Linked DNA regions of Mus musculus. The protein of the gene in region 1 purifies or fractionates together with the protein of each later gene. This does not show direct contact. Links are inferred from orthologs where the notes say so. Each region holds a gene or a part of one and is shown on either strand. Other genes may lie near its edges.

Evidence for each region.
Region 2: the proteins of L3mbtl1 (region 1) and Anapc1 purify together in Homo sapiens (affinity purification with mass spectrometry; 4 studies listed by BioGRID and IntAct, counting the BioPlex papers as one, with this or other methods). This does not show direct contact. The link is inferred for Mus musculus from reciprocal best matches to the Homo sapiens genes L3MBTL1 and ANAPC1.

The regions. Positions count from the first base shown.
Region 1 is NC_000068.7:162,942,033-162,946,571, forward strand, and holds the start of L3mbtl1 (lethal(3)malignant brain tumor-like protein 1), read left to right. Parts: upstream 1-1,432; 5' UTR 1,433-1,508; intron 1,509-2,395; 5' UTR 2,396-2,561; exon of another isoform or gene 2,562-4,539. UniProt on the Homo sapiens protein: Polycomb group (PcG) protein that specifically recognizes and binds mono- and dimethyllysine residues on target proteins, thereby acting as a 'reader' of a network of post-translational modifications.
Region 2 is NC_000068.7:128,631,623-128,635,436, forward strand, and holds part of Anapc1 (anaphase-promoting complex subunit 1), read right to left. Parts: intron 3,151-3,814; coding exon 3,016-3,150; intron 2,894-3,015; coding exon 2,811-2,893; intron 1,794-2,810; coding exon 1,715-1,793; intron 1,051-1,714; coding exon 976-1,050; intron 1-975. UniProt on the Homo sapiens protein: Component of the anaphase promoting complex/cyclosome (APC/C), a cell cycle-regulated E3 ubiquitin ligase that controls progression through mitosis and the G1 phase of the cell cycle.

The DNA.
Region 1 (4,539 bases):
GCAGGCGGGAGCCCGCAGGGTACAGTGAGCATAGGGGCAGAGCTGCCCACATCACTTCAGCCTGGAAGGGTCTCTCCATCCCTGAGGGTGCTGGAATGAGCAAGTCAGGTATTAAGACCAGTGACTGTAAAAGAGCAAAAAGTAGCAACTGATGTCTGTGAGCTGTCTGGGTCCTCCCTGCTCAAATTCACTGCATCTGTTTGAATCACTAAAAAAGATTTGTAATTGAGAAACCATGTGTTCAAATAGGTTTACCACTTTAATACTTAACCATTTTGGAATCTTTAAATAAGTAGAGTCTGGATAGAAATAAGAAAACAGTGATGTGTGTATAAAGAGTCTTCTATGGATATGGTTATCTCCATCCTTTTCTGACTAATCTTGTTCCTAAAAATACAAAATGATTAAAACCATGGAGGCAAAGCAGAACACATGTAACGAATAGTTAAGATCTACATAAATTTAAACTTGATCACAGCAATTGGAAGAATATACCATTTAAATGAGTATTTTTCATCCGGGCTAAGTCTAAAGATTTGGCTGATGGCTACTACCTAAGCCAAATAGACCTGTTTTCTGCAAAATAAGGGAGTAGAATTAAAAATCAGTGTGTAAGCGGGAACTGGGGCGCTAAGAGTTAACCTCTTTCACATGGATCAGTCAATCAGAAGACATTTATTAGTACCCACTTTGCTCGGAACCGGGGATACTAAAAAGTGGTGGGCTTCCTTCCTAGAGTGCAGGGTCTCTTAAACTCCTGAGTTACTCAGGTCTCTGATGATACAGACGCAGTAGCAGTGCCAGAGTTAGAACCAATAAAAGTAGCGGTCTGGTAGCGACAGATCAATTAAGGAAATGGAAGGCACAAGAGGAGCCTTTTGCTTTGAGCACATTTGCTCAAATCGACACAAAAGGAACCATTCTCGAACTCTAGAATATGGCATAATAGTCTTCCAATGTTCAATGGAAGCGCAGAAGGTACAGTGATGTTTCCAGGGCACATCGTCAACTAATAGGTCATCCAAAGGCTGGTGCGGCTGGGGTGCTTGATGCCAAGCCAAGCCCATGGCTTCCTTGCTCTGGCTGTGCGTGCTCTTCACCCATCCTAGGAGTTCCCTGAAACTCCTGAAGTCCCCTTCTCCAAATGGGGAACCCGACTTAGGCAGGGTTGCAGCCTTGCCGGGTACAGACCAGCTGGAGGAGATCCATCAGGCTTCCTGCTTCTCCCGGCTCCGTGGTTCCCAGGATACTATAAAAATCTCCACCCACTTCTCCAGCGCAGCAAGCGGGTTTTACGGGAAGAGGCAATTAAGCCTGCACCCCCAGGCTCCGACGGAAAGCAAAAGCTGCAACCTGAGGCCATAGCCATGCAGACCCCCCACCCCAGCAAAGGAGCTCGGCGCCCGCTCTGCAGGGAACAGGCCCGCCCCCCTGTGTGCGCAGGCGCGCGCCGCACCAGGCTCCCACGGTCGGTCGCTCGGTGCGGGCGGCAACCGCTAGCCATGCAGGTAAGAACGGGGCAGTGGTCTCTGGCTGGGCGCTCCCAGGTCGCCACACCCCAATCCCGGTCCTCACGGCGAATCCTGGGGTCCCGCAGGCACCGCCCCAGGTCCTTTTCCAGCTCCTGCGGCACCGGCTGTGGGCTGGGGAGGTGGCTCTGCAGACTCTGGGCTGTGGCGCTGCAGGTGGGGGCTTGCTGGCTGCTGGCGAGCGAGCCCACTGACACTCTCTGCATCCAGAGCGGTAGGGAGGGCAGAGCCTCGGCCTTGCAGAGAGATGCTATCAAGAGTTTCCATTAATAAGAGGGTGTGGAGGGCGAGTGTGGGCTATCCATAGGCCATTTGGCAAACTTTCCACTGTAATTGATCTTCAATATTTTTAGCAGAAAACAGGATTTTAAAATTTTTGGAAATAAAGGGGGGGTGGGGGGTGATGTAAAGAATTCCGCCATTTTAGCGGTTAGAAAGTAACTCTTCTGCAGAGCGGACAGATCAGTGACCGCCCCTCCCGCGACTGTCTGCATTAGTCCCAAGGAGGTGGGTGGTGGTTTTGGAGACTCCAGCCGCTCAGGACTGCTTCTACCGGCTAGCTGCGGCAGAGAGCGAGCTGGGGGAATTCCCCACCCCACCCCCAAGTGTGCTGTGTGCATCCACCACTAGCTGCCCTGTTTCTCCAGCACCTACCACCGGGGCTTTTATTGGATGTCTGCTGTTTGTATTATGGTCTCAAAAAACTCTGGTGTGGTGTGTGTGTGTGTGTGTGTGTGTGTGTGTGTGTGTGTGTGTGTGTGTGTGCCTGTCTATCCATCAAAAACTCGACAGCAAGTGACAACAGCAGGGACACATTCAGAAATAGTTTATTGAGCATCTACTGTGTGCAACCACTCTTGTTTTAGGTAGGACTCCCTGGAATCATAGACTAGGTTTATGAGAGTAGCCTTGTGAAACCAACAAGATTGGGCAGAGATGTTGAAATGCTGGCGTAGTCCCAGCAGAGGCCTCAGCCTGAGGAGCAGGAAGCCCTGAACCTGAGATGGCCCGGAAGAGAGCCCTCAAATGAAGGTAAAGGCATGGGGTCTTTCTAGCCCTCTATGAACTAATCATGTATGGCTGACCGAGGGAGAGAGCACTTGAGAGACACTTCCCGGGCCAGTTGTAGAGAGCCTGAGGCTGATGGCTGACAGTTATCATTATGTTCCAGAAGGGTCTCACTCAATGCTTTTCTCTCATTGACACGGGTCCCCTTTGCCCTCCCAACATGTTTGGGTTCTCCAAGGCTCCACTCTTTTCCCTGTAGTCATTTCTCTGTTTCAAATACCATCGTCACACAACATCTTTCAAATCCGTCCCAGCTCCAACCTCATCCTTTATCTTTAAAGTATAAGCCTCATGAGAGCCCCTTGTCTTGGTGGCACCTATAGCCCCCAGAGTGCAGTGCAGTGTTGAGACCTGGACTTGCTGAGACCAGGCATCTAGCTGGATTAGAAAGGCCATCTTCAGCTTCTTCTGAGACACCTGCTACGTGGGGCTGGTTTTTGAAACAAAGTTTTTTGAATAAGCCACTCTTCTTGATCTCTCCAGTATTTGAAACAAGAGATTTGTCTGTTTGTTTATTTATTTGTTTATTTATTTATTTATTTATTTATTTATTTAATGTAAGTACACTGTAGCTGTCTTCAGACACACCAGAAGAGGACATCAGATCCCATTACAGATGGTTGTGAGCCACCATGTGGTTGCTGGGATTTTAACTCAGGACCTCCAGAAGAGCAGTCAGTGCTCTTAACTGCTGAGCCATCTCTCCAGCCCCAAGTAAGCCGGGCGTGGTGGCACACACCTTTAATCCCAGCACTCAGGAGGCAGAGGCAGGGGGATTTCTGAGTTCGAGGCCAGCCTGGTCTACAAAGTGAGTTCCAGGACAGCCAGAGCTATGCAGAGAAACCCTGTCTCGAAAAACTACAAAAATAAATAAATAAATAAATAAATAAATAAATAAATAAATATGATGCAAAGGTGGGGGTGGGGAGATGGCGCAGGGTTAAGAGCACTCGTTGCTCTTGCCTACCACCCAGGTTCAGTTCCCAGCACTCACATGGTGTCTGACAATCATCTGGAACTTCAGTTGGGGGGGGCAGGGCTGCTTGGGGGGGGGGTGCCGCTTGGGGGGGGGGGAATCAGAAGCCCTCTGGTGGCATCAACAGGTACTGCATACACGTGGTGCCCACAAACATTCCAGCAAAAGCAACCATACACGTAAAATCAGAGTAAATATTTCTAAGTGGTACAAACTCTTCAGCCATGAAAAGCAAAATAATTGGGACTGAAATTTGGGGGATTCTGGATTGCAAGTTTTAAACACTCGTTTTTTTTTTTTTTTTTGACCCTGTCTACCTGTTTATACCACAGCTTTAGACTTTTAATGATAGACATCTATAACATATTCTGTGTTTTAGGGAGGAAAGCCTAGGAAATAAGTGAACAAACAAGGCGAGCAGGAGGGAAGGAGGGTGGGCACGAAACAGCAGCCATTGCACCTGATTTTGCAAGTAGGCAGGGTCCATGTTACTGGCTGGAAGCTGCCAAGCTCCCTGGAGCTTCTGTCTGAAGGGAGCGAGAGGATCCCTATTTGTTGAAGACCTTCTGGTATCGCTACGTCACATCCAGCATTTACCAAAGCCCCCCGAGGTAGGTGCCATCATCATTTTTATTTTATTTTACACTTAAGAATCTGGGGCTCAGAGTGGGAAAGTTACTTATCTGCAATCACAGGTATTAAGTAAATGTAGAGACGCTGAGAGACCAATTCAAAAACTCCGTCCTAAGCTAAGCCTTACTCCTTCCTTATCATATATGCCAGACGCCGTTGCCAAGCGCTGCTAGGAGGCGCTGAGTAGCAATCACACCACAGAATACAATTCCTTCTCTTCTCTTCCATTTCTCCCCATCCATCCCCCAACCTCTCTGCTGGATTTGAACACGGGATTCATGCTTGGCTAGTAAGTTAAAGCCCCCGGCTTCTGGATCTTGTGTTGACTAGGTA
Region 2 (3,814 bases), about 34 Mb from region 1:
CTGGAACAAATACCCTTTACCTCTCTCCCTTCTCCTGCTCCTTCATCTCCCCTCTGTCTCTTATTCCCTGCCCTTTGTCCCTCTGGGACAAATAAATCTCATTTGTCCTAAGAGCACGGTCTTGGGGTGTCTCGAGCCAACTTTGAGTCCTACAGGCACAGAGGCCTGAGACTAAGGTCAGGAACCTCCCTTGGTCCTTCTGCCTTATTCATTAAAATAGGATCTCTTAATCAAACAATATATCTTGTCTTGTCAGCCAGCTTGTGCAGGGGATCCCATCTCTACCTTCTTCCACCATAGTTTATATGGGACTTGAGGACCCTAGCATTTCAGAAAGCACAACCACACAAGTAGAGCATACGCAGTGTAAGCTTAGTGAAGAAAATTCTAGCACTATCCACTCCACCACATCAGTCTATCCGATAGCCAGGAGGGGCTCAGAAGGAGCCTGGGAAGTGTGAGCACTTGCAGGACCAGGCCACCTCAGCCATGACCACCCCTACAAAGCAGTGCCAGCCTGAGGGAAGACCTGGACATTTTAGCTGTGGTTTTCTTGCTTCCAAGGCAAGTACTTTAGCTGCTGTGTCATCTCTTTGACCTTTAGTATAAACTCGTAAAATTAAAGTTCCTCTGTCTTGTCAAAAGATCCCCCTAAAGATGAGCAGGAAGATTGCTCAGCAGTTACAAGTAAGCACTGCTCTTCCAGGACTTGAGTTCAAGTCATAGCACCTCTTATAGGCAGCTCACAACTGCACATAACTCCAACTCCAGGGGATCTGATGCTTCCTTACGCACCAGCATCCACATTTAAACACACATGCTTAAAAATGATCAAAAAACAAATCATGAAAAAGAAGATACCTAAGGGTAAACAACTGATTCCACAGGAAAAAATATTCTATAGCACTTTGGAAAATATCGCAAGAAATCACAATTTATGTTATTAATGCTACAGTATTTATTGTCTGTACTTACCTGAGGAACATTGCTGTCAACCCACTTGGAATTTGGTAAGATATCATCCCACAAAATCAAGCACCGAGCAAGTGTCTTAAAAATGAATTACAGACAAAATTAATCAGGCAAAGCTCATGTATTTCCCAATAACTGTAACAGTAAACAAACTAAGAATTCGTTCCCAACTAACAACTACTTTAAAACACAGACTATCAACTAAATATATCAAAATAAAGACTTAGATCTTAAAGAAAAATTTAGTTCATCACGATCCAAGTATTGAGGGTTTGGAGAAGGCCTTCTTATACTGTGAAAGAAAAATCACAAAGGAAAGAGCCACAGCTCAGCATACATGTCAATCTAAAAGCTTGCTAAGTTCAAACATAAAAGAAATACAGAACAATTTTACACAGTACTAAATGGTTATTCTAACTACAACCATAACAGTACTACTACATCCCCAAGGATACTAAAAATAACAAGATCCTGGTCACATGCTGCCTTTTAGTGGGTTTTTAATAATAATAATATAAGAAATGTCATTACAAATGTCATTATTATCTATCACAGTGGCCACCTTTCCTAGCCCTTCTAAGTTCTTTTTGGGAAACTTCAAAAGAACATTGCTAATCAGAAAAACATGACAGGCTAAAGTAAACCCTTTCGTGGAAAGGCATTTAGATTTGCAGCTAAACTTGAGGATCACATACAGTGCTCCCCTCATGTCAAGAAAAACGAAAATGACAAAGTACCATACCCTAAGCAAAAGGAATTCTGGTTTCACAAAGTCTAGCAAATACATGGTATCAGGAGCACGCAGCCAATCAGCAATGGACCTGTTGGCAGAGGACACCAGTCAAGGAAGAGGTCAGGTATTCAAATATCAAGACATCAAATCATCTCTCTCCTCCAACAAAGGTCTAGCTTTTTCATAATGTTTCACAAATGCTTATGTAATATTTATGTTTTTATGTCTTACTATATAAATAAGTTCCATGAAGGTCTGTTTAGTTTGCCTTGTTCGTTGAAATATCTCCAATATCAGCTGACATACATTCATCCAAATAGATTAATAATATCTTTTGCCACTTTGTTAATTCTGCATAGAATTTTCCCAAATGTAAGAATTGAGAACACTGGAGAATTTCATGTCTCAGAATATTTTTCAAATTAAAAGTATTAAGGTGATCTGAGGACATAACTCAGGACAGATTGGGAATATAGAAGGTTTAATCACTAGAAAAGCTTCTAAACAAAGCAGAAACCATTTTTATTAATGGTAACCAAGTACAAAATAATGCTAAGTATTCCTGGCTGAACAGTACTCACAAGGATATGCAAAATTACTGAAAGGAAGTAGGCCGTTCTTTGGGCTTGCCCTCTATAACCTTTTCTTCCACATCCACTTGAAAATACCAGAGGGGAGAAAAACTGACATTTAAATTAAACACAGATGGTCTTTTGATTTTTGAATCATGTTTCTCTATACAATACAGCATTAACAACCATTTATATGGTAAATACAAGCATATTTCATATTATAATTAATCTATAGATTTAAAGTAGCAAGATGAAGTGAATAAATTACATGTACATCTCATGTATTTATGTGACAGGCCTGAACATTTGTGGGTTCTAGTGTCTGTACAGTTCTGGGACCAATACCCTGAAGACACTGAGACAGGATTCCTGACGCACACCATTCCCAAAGAAAACAGTGCTACACAAAGTCTACTCAGCCCCATTACCCAAGAGAACAGACATCAGGCTGCTCTAGTACAAATGAGGAGATTGTACTGCTGAGGGCAAAAAGGCTGCCATGTATCATGCAGGACAGGTGAGGGTGCTAATACCTGTTATTGGTTTTTAAGTAGATCATAGCCAACGCCAGAGTAGCACCGGGACAAGTCACATCCACGTTTATGGTGTCTCCTTCCTGGGGAGGAAAGTTACTCATGTAAGAGCTCCAGCACACTTATCGCTGTTGGTAGCAAAGCCACTGCTGTGCAGCTGACATCTCAGCCTGTGGCTCTGATCCTTTCCTCTGACTTCACTTACTTTGATCTGATAACTTGGAGACTTATGTTTCTCCCTGTGCATTCCAGTTTGAAATCGCCTATGGCCTCCAACCATGTACTGATACAGCTGCTCAGGCACATTGAGATCAGACATGCCAATCAAATTGCTGCCATGCTGGAAAAATTAAATAACTGAGATGAAAATAAGCCTTAACAGGAGGAAGTCAGGAATACACACTCATGATAAACAAAGGGACACAATTCAGAAGAGCCTATTTTAATTTTGATGTTTCTTCCAATTTCAATAAACATACACATTAATTAATGCCAAGCTATTAATTCTCATAAAATTATAATGTATTTTTAGATCTATATACTTTTGTTTCATAAAATATATGAAAAAAATCAAAAGACGTAATTAGACTAAGAGTAAAAGAAAATATCAAGTACATATTCAAAACCTGAACTGTGAACACCCGAGTACTTTCATTACTGCACCAGTGATCTCCTCAAGCAACCACAATAACTTATTGAATACTTACTCAATACCGTATTTAAAATGAATTCACTCAACTCAGAAGCCCTATTTGTCCTTCTCAGTTTTACTTGTTACAGCCTAAAGTCACCTGAAAGAAAAGTCTCAACTGAGGAATTGTCTAGGTGAGAGTGGCCTGTGGACATGTCTGGGGGTGCCTATGACCTTGATTATGAATTGATGTAGGAGGCTCCAGCCCACTGTGGGTGGCACCATCCCTAGGTAAGTGGTCCTGGGTTATAAAACAACACTAGCTCAGCATGAGCCTGTGGGCAAGCCAGACAGTAAGCCAACAAGCAGCACT